2 linked regions of the Saccharomyces cerevisiae S288C genome follow. Changing the gene in region 1 together with any one later gene gives a genetic interaction. Each region holds a gene or a part of one and is shown in the gene's direction. Other genes may lie near its edges.

Region 1 (4,245 bases):
TCTACATACTCAAGACCTCCTTGTATCTATCGAACTAGGCGATTACATATATACTTATATACAGCGAGACTCACTTACCGAGCATGACCCATTCCATTGAGATTAAGGTCGAGGACATGATTGCTATCGCGGCGAAACTTTCGCCACCTAAAACCAACCATATGCGACAGCCCACTAGCTTTCTCCCCACGTCAACTACGCACTGCGGAAAAGGCCAAAATGTCCCGAATGATGCGGGATGACGACACGCATGCCGGTGGAGCGGTCATGACCAAATTTGTGCGCGCAACTGGCGCTTGTCTAAGTTGAATAGCCAATAAGATGAGAGTATTGCCCGCCCAATGTCGCGGGTCAACCCGCGACATTGGGCGGCTAGATTAGAGGCGTGGCCAGGCGGTTCATTTGTCGTACAAAATGGCAAAACACGTGACGCTGTGTCTCCTCGTGTGCGATCGCAGTACAGATCTGGCGTTCTCGGAAACGGCACATGCGCTCAAGAGTGATATCGTCCGGGCGGATTTCGCAATACAGCAAATTGCGCAACTTAGTGTTATACCCGTCAAACACAGGTCCCTCTAATAATAGGCCTTGTGCGGGCGCCCTCGGAATGTATTTCCTAGGCCCGGCGTTAAAATAGTTACGTACAATATTAGGCGGCAATTGGCAACGGGCTGCAAGTACGGCAAGCGCTACCATTCGTCGAATCTGATGCAACATAAACGACTGCCCGTGGATCCGCACACATATCCATCCCGGTGAGGCCTGCGACACTACAACCTTTTTGATATGGCGCTGAGCACTAGGATCCCCCCAAAGCTTTCCTGTGGTAAAGTTGTGAAAATTATGCGTTCCCACGTACTCCTGCATGGCTGCCTCAAACGCGTCCAGCTTCGAGGGCGACAAGCAGTAGCCGCTAAGGGTACCGCTCAATAGCCCCACGTAGTCTTGTACCAAAGGATCGCTCTCGCTTAGTTTCTGTGCAGTGTCCTGCAAACGGCACAGCTCATCCCCGCTAAATCTCCCACGCGTCTGTTCCAGGAACGTATCCCACACCTCTTGCGAGCCGTCTTCGCGGTAGCATCCCCCCACGTTTCGATGCAAAAGAGAACTCCGGGGTGGACCAATGAGTATAAATTCTGGGATAAGGTATTGGTACCATCGAGAATCGCACGCGGATCTAGCATTAAACTTTTTATTGACAGGCTGGATACCCCACACGCGTATTTCGGGCGGTAGTGCGGCGTTTAACTTCGCTACTGTGTCCTCTCGCAATGTGATCTTTAGCGACAGTAGATTCAACATAGCGTGTACACCCTTGTCTGTTCTTGCCGCTGCCATAAAGGAATTTTTCTTCGGTGCCAATGAATTTTCTTCGGAAATGGCTCCTACGTCGAAGAGCTTGGTGAGAATCTCACCTTCAATCGTCTTGTGTGGTGGGTTGTATTGCATTCCATAGTATCCGCTGCCACAGTAACCTAAGAGCATAACGACCTTATGTTTACTCGGCCTTCTCTTTACTACCGCTGTTAACGGTGTCGGAGTAACCTCATCACTAGTACTACTACCATTTGTACTGAGCAGAACTGTTAATAAATGCTATGTTCACATCGATATATATACATATGTGTGTAAGGGGCTACAATTCATACATACGAGTATCTCTTTATTCTCTGGCCTGTAAATATTTGTCTTAAAACAGAGCTAGTCTTTAATGCCGTCTTTTTCATTTTCTTTTCTCGATGGGTTCTATTTCGCAATACAACCGCTCTTGCACAGCACAACCAAACCATATTCTTGAAATTTTCGAAAGGAAGCAAAAGTTCAAATCACTTACCACGGAATCATAAATTACAACTATAATAATAGCGGAATAGATATTAGTGATGAGTAGAAATACTTCTTCAGATCAGATTAAAGTATAATAAGACAAATGTCGCTTTTTTTCAAGCCAGTAATTTCACCACAGTGGTCTTTCCCCGTGCTTCTCAAGATAGGAGTGCGTTCTTATGCGGGAGGCCCAAGAACAAAGCATAAAGGAAACTCTCCATTAGCTTCAGTGCCTACAGGCAGTAGTAATAAAAACCGAAAACAGAAGGCCAAAGGCAAAAAAGGTAACAAAAAGAATGACCCTGACCAAGCATTCAACTTTGGAGAGTATGGTGGATTGAAAAAAGACGTCGAGATGAATATGGACAGTACGAATAAACTCATTCAAAAAATATCGAATTTCGACCAATTGCTTATACTTCCACCTGTCAGAGACGCTGTGAAAGAAATCATTTCCAAAGAGTCCCTGAAGCTACAAGATAGTAGGAAAAAAACCAGTGAAAATATAATACCGAGTCCCATTCAAACAGTGGCCATTAAGAGAATATCCAAAAATTTAATGGATCCAAAGTTACAAATACATGCGATTGCCGCTGAGACAGGTTCAGGTAAGACCATGGCCTACTTGATACCTTTAATAGACTATTTGAAAAGACAGGAGTTGGAAACTCCCGAATTATGGGAAACATTAAGAAAAAACGTTCTGATTCGGTCCATCATACTGGTGCCTACGCATGAATTGGTTGACCAAGTATACGAAACTGTTTCCAAGACGAAAACCTTGTTAGGCTTAAACTCTTTCAAGTGGGACAAGGCCACATCATATCGTGATTTATTAGAGAACATTAAAAATAGAATAGATATTTTAGTCACTACTCCGGGAAAACTACTGAACCTGTTCTCCATAAGAATGATAACTAGACCTGATAAAGTCTTGTCCAAAGTGGGTTTCGTAGTACTAGATGAAGCTGACACACTTCTAGATAGGTCATGGCTTGAAGAAACGCACTCCGCAATAAAGAGAATTCCTAACATTAATCACCTTATTTTCTGTTCCGCTACTATTCCTCAAGAGTTTAATAAAACAATGCAAAGACTATTTCCTACAGTGGTTCCTATAATGACACCCAGACTGCATAAGTTACCATTCGCTTTGGACTTTAAAGTTATAAATTCTGCCTTAAGTCCTTTCAAGGGATCCAAGATCAAAGCATTGGCACAAACTTTATATGCTATTTCAAATGATGACACGGAACCAGGGTTCGAGAAAAGATGCATTATCTTTGTTAACGAAAAAAAGAATGTTCCTGAAATTGTTAACCTATTGAATAAGAAATTCGGTCATAATGCCATCGGTTTAACTGGTGAAGATACATTTGAAGAAAGATCCGAGAAAATTATGCCCTTTTTATCACCACCGCGACCACTTTCGGAGGTGGTTGCTCAGAGTACTTCACCTCCCACTTCCTTGAAGAAATTTGAAATTCCTGATTCCAACATCGTCATCGGCAAATTGAAAAACACAAATTCTAATGGTACCGCACCCAGTAACAAGTCTTTGCATGTACTCGTAACCACCGACCTCATGGCAAGAGGGCTCAATTTCAAAGGTGTACGGAATGTTGTTCTCTACGATGTACCCAAAACGTCAATAGACCTGATACACCGAGTGGGCAGAACTGCTAGAATGAAACAGGGCGGCCGCGTATTTATGCTAACTGACAGTAAAACAAAATCTTGGGCTAAAGCTCTTCCAAAGATCATCAAAAAGCACCAGAGATTATCATGATAAATGTATATTCTTGTAAATATTATAACATATATACGAAAGGGTCACAATCACAGATACAATTTATAGATCGAGAGCCTTGCGTATAGCTTCTTTTTTTATAAACAAGTGCCTGGCTAGATGAACGCGCGAACAACAAAATAAATGATGTATTCATTTTAACATCAAAAGATTACGTTCGCCATTTAAGAAGTCACGAAATAGATACAGTAGTAAAGACAGATAAAAAAGAGTCGATTAGACAAGCAAAAATGATTGAAAAGGATAAAAGAACGATTGCTTTTATTCATCCAGACCTAGGTATTGGGGGCGCTGAAAGGTTAGTCGTCGATGCAGCATTAGGTCTACAGCAACAAGGACATAGTGTAATCATCTATACTAGTCACTGTGATAAATCACATTGTTTCGAAGAAGTTAAAAACGGCCAATTAAAAGTCGAAGTTTATGGTGATTTTTTACCGACAAACTTTTTGGGTCGTTTTTTTATTGTTTTCGCAACAATTAGACAGCTTTATTTAGTTATTCAATTGATCCTACAGAAAAAAGTGAATGCGTACCAATTAATTATCATTGATCAACTGTCTACATGTATTCCGCTTCTGCATATCTTTAGTTCTGCCACTTTGATG
Region 2 (3,570 bases), on another chromosome or scaffold:
CATCAGTTATTTGAGAAACGGCAGCGGCAGTAGACTTAGCAGCTTGAACTTGACCGTCAGTTATTTGAGAAACGGCAGCGGCAGTAGACTTAGCAGCTTGAACTTGACCGTCAGTTATTTGGGAAACAGCAGCGGCAGTAGACTTAGCAGCTTGAACTTGACCGTCAGTTATTTGAGAAACAGCAGCAGCGGTGGATTTCTTAGAAACAGCAGCAGTAGTAGTGGCAGCCTGTACTTGACCATCACCTATCTGAGAGGCGGCTCTCTTTGCTTTAGATGAGGCGACGGAGGAAGCACTGGTAGCCACGGCTTCAATAGCAATACCGAAACTCGAAGAGTAATCTGTTATACCACCCTTGTAAGTAGCTGATGGAGTTAAAGTGGACCACGGGTCCTTTGGAGCATAGGCAGCTAAAGATGTAGCAGCTAAAGCGGAGACGACTAATGGCTTTTTATATTGCATTTTTACTTATAAACAGTACTTGTTTTATGAGATTTCTTATTGATGTAAATGTAATAATTATCTAAAGAAATCTTAGGTTACAGTTTCAGTGTTAGACAAAACAAGACACAAATCAATAGAGCATGCTAAATGACGAGAATCTTATATAGGCTTGATTTGGCGCATGTTGTAATGAATGGAGTAGGGATAATCCTGGAGATGCATGATTTATCCCTTCTATTTCAGTCGACGGCGAAATATGCCAAATTTAGAAAGCCCTCGGCCTTTGATCTATAATTAGTTTGCTAATCGTTTGATCCCCTTTAACTTGCAATAACTTTTCCCGATGAGGTAAAAATACAGCTTAACCGCCAAGAAATTGCGCGGGGCCAGAAATCAAATTTAAAGGAAGTAGTGTACAATAAGGTCGATTTACTCCTTCAACTACTACTACATTCGGAAATGGTTGCTCGGTTCCGAATAAGGTCTCTTACGCTAGCTTCCCGGTGACCTTACCGATCTATGCCCGTAAAGTATTTTTGCAATTGTATTCTGTACAAAAGTTGTCTTTTGGATGCATTTTTCACACATTTGCATCAATGAAAGTCCGAATGCGCCTATCATCCCGTTGTTGTCTTAAGATTATAAGAAAGTACATGGGCAAAAACACGATAATAGTAATGTAGTGACTCCCGTTTAGAATAAAGAGCTGCGCACATACCTAAAATGGTTGCACATTTTAGAAACCTACTCGGTGGCACGTGAAGTGGTATACATTTAGTTAATAGTTAAATAATTTTCGTACAGAATATCGCACCGTCTCTTAGCATAACAGTGTATCTCACAATCTTTGTTCCTGTTACTAGAGCGAAAACTTAATGATCTAGTTATATCTTCTTTTGTCCCCTCTTGGCCCCTCAATAATGTTTTATTTAGCACCAGCACTTTTCTCATTTGGTTTTTCTTTTTTTTCTAATATATTCTGCCTTTCCTATTTAGGTAATAATTCCTCGAAGCCAGACGCCTTTTTCGGCTACTTTTTTGACAGCTGCTGCCCCTTTAATGAAACGGTTGGTCGAAAAGGAGTCAATGTATATCTCATATGAAATATGCAAAGCATTCCTGTCATCGGAAAATGACGTGGCTTGGAGCGCATAAAAATGGAGAGATCGGCCAGCTTGCTCTTAATTATATCATCATTTATTATTAGCAGCCTTTTTATGTCCTGCCAATTATAGAAGCAACGCTAATAAAAGAAATTGAGATGGCGGACGTAAATCCTTCTTGGAGCTCGATTACTTGCTTTAATAATACGATGGACCATCATTTAGCCCATGTATCTGAAAGGGTTTAGACTGTGTCCAGTCAATCTCTCCTGCCCAAATATTAGAACGCTGGTATACTAATTATTCTTTCAATAAGAAGATCGTAATGCTACAATTCTCACATATAAAAAGGAGCAAGATCTTTACTACTTTATGCATAGTTGTCCTATCTTCTCTATTACTGTATAAGAATAATATCATCAAGAAAACAAAAGTTAATACACTGGTATTAAAAAAAAACAAACTACAAAACTCCCCTAATAGTATATTCTAGAAAATGCAATACAAAAAATCATTAGTTGCCTCCGCCTTAGTTGCTACATCTTTAGCTGCCTATGCTCCAAAGGACCCGTGGTCCACTTTAACTCCATCAGCTACTTACAAGGGTGGTATAACTGATTACTCTTCTACTTTCGGTATTGCTGTTGAACCAATTGCCACTACTGCTTCCTCCAAGGCTAAGAGAGCCGCTGCTATCTCTCAAATTGGTGACGGTCAAATCCAAGCCACTACCAAAACCACTGCTGCTGCTGTTTCTCAAATTGGTGACGGTCAAATCCAAGCCACTACTAAAACCAAAGCTGCTGCTGTCTCTCAAATTGGTGACGGCCAAATCCAAGCCACCACCAAGACTACCTCAGCTAAGACTACCGCTGCAGCCGTCTCCCAAATTGGTGACGGTCAAATTCAAGCCACTACTAAAACCAAAGCTGCTGCTGTCTCTCAAATTGGTGACGGTCAAATCCAAGCCACTACCAAAACAACTGCTGCAGCTGTCTCTCAAATTGGTGACGGTCAAATCCAAGCCACTACTAAAACCACTGCTGCTGCTGTTTCTCAAATTGGTGACGGTCAAATCCAAGCCACCACCAATACTACTGTTGCTCCAGTCTCCCAAATCACTGATGGCCAAATCCAAGCCACAACTTTAACTTCTGCAACCATTATACCATCTCCAGCTCCAGCTCCAATTACTAATGGCACTGACCCAGTAACTGCTGAAACATGTAAAAGCAGTGGCACTTTAGAAATGAACTTAAAGGGTGGTATCCTGACTGACGGTAAAGGTAGAATTGGTTCTATCGTTGCCAACAGACAATTCCAATTCGATGGTCCTCCACCACAAGCTGGTGCTATCTATGCTGCTGGTTGGTCCATCACCCCAGAAGGTAACTTGGCCATCGGTGACCAGGATACTTTTTACCAATGTTTGTCAGGAAACTTCTACAACTTATACGATGAGCACATTGGAACTCAATGTAATGCAGTCCACCTACAAGCTATCGATTTGCTCAACTGTTAATCATAAGTTTACCTCTCATAGTCGCATGAAAACATAAAGTCATCGTAGCATATTCTGTACATTAGTCATTTCTGTCTCCAAAGGGCATAATTTGGGTCGGTTCATTTTTTTCTTCTTAATTCGTCTCTTCATTTCATAAAGCTTTCTTTTGAAACCTATGAAATGAGCTTTACAGTTCTTCACTCTTTTTTTTAAAGTTTGTTTATTTTTTTATACTATATACATTATTATTTCTAAAAAATCATTATAAATTACGTTAAAAGCGCACCTTATACTTTGATAGAGTTTTCCCAGAAAAAAAACCAACGAATTTGATAGTACCAAGACTTCACGGGATTGAAATCGGATGCAACTTCAACTATTCCTGGGACAGAATATTTCTCAGACATTACTTTGTGTACCGTGGAGCCCTTTCTCATTTGAGAAGGAAACAAATTGTTGTCATCTTATAATGCCATATATTCGTCACTATCTCAGTCAAAATTTAAGAAAATTGACAT

Evidence for each region. A genetic interaction does not mean that the proteins touch.
Region 2: mutations in MRH4 (region 1) and PIR1 together harm fitness more than expected from each alone (negative genetic interaction), as found in Saccharomyces cerevisiae (one large-scale study listed by BioGRID).

What each region holds. Positions count from the first base shown.
Region 1 is NC_001139.9:380,894-385,138, reverse strand, and holds MRH4 (ATP-dependent RNA helicase), read left to right. Parts: upstream 1-1,930; coding exon 1,931-3,616; downstream 3,617-4,245. Other genes in the region: pseudouridine synthase PUS2, read right to left, coding at 373-1,485; ALG2 (GDP-Man:Man(1)GlcNAc(2)-PP-dolichol alpha-1,3-mannosyltransferase), read left to right, coding at 3,868-4,245. UniProt on the Saccharomyces cerevisiae protein: ATP-binding RNA helicase involved in mitochondrial RNA metabolism. Required for maintenance of mitochondrial DNA.
Region 2 is NC_001143.9:141,294-144,863, reverse strand, and holds PIR1 (beta-1,3-glucan linked protein), read left to right. Parts: upstream 1-2,044; coding exon 2,045-3,070; downstream 3,071-3,570. Other genes in the region: PIR3 (beta-1,3-glucan linked protein), read right to left, coding at 1-463. UniProt on the Saccharomyces cerevisiae protein: Component of the outer cell wall layer. Required for stability of the cell wall and for optimal growth. Required for resistance against several antifungal and cell wall-perturbing agents and for tolerance to heat shock.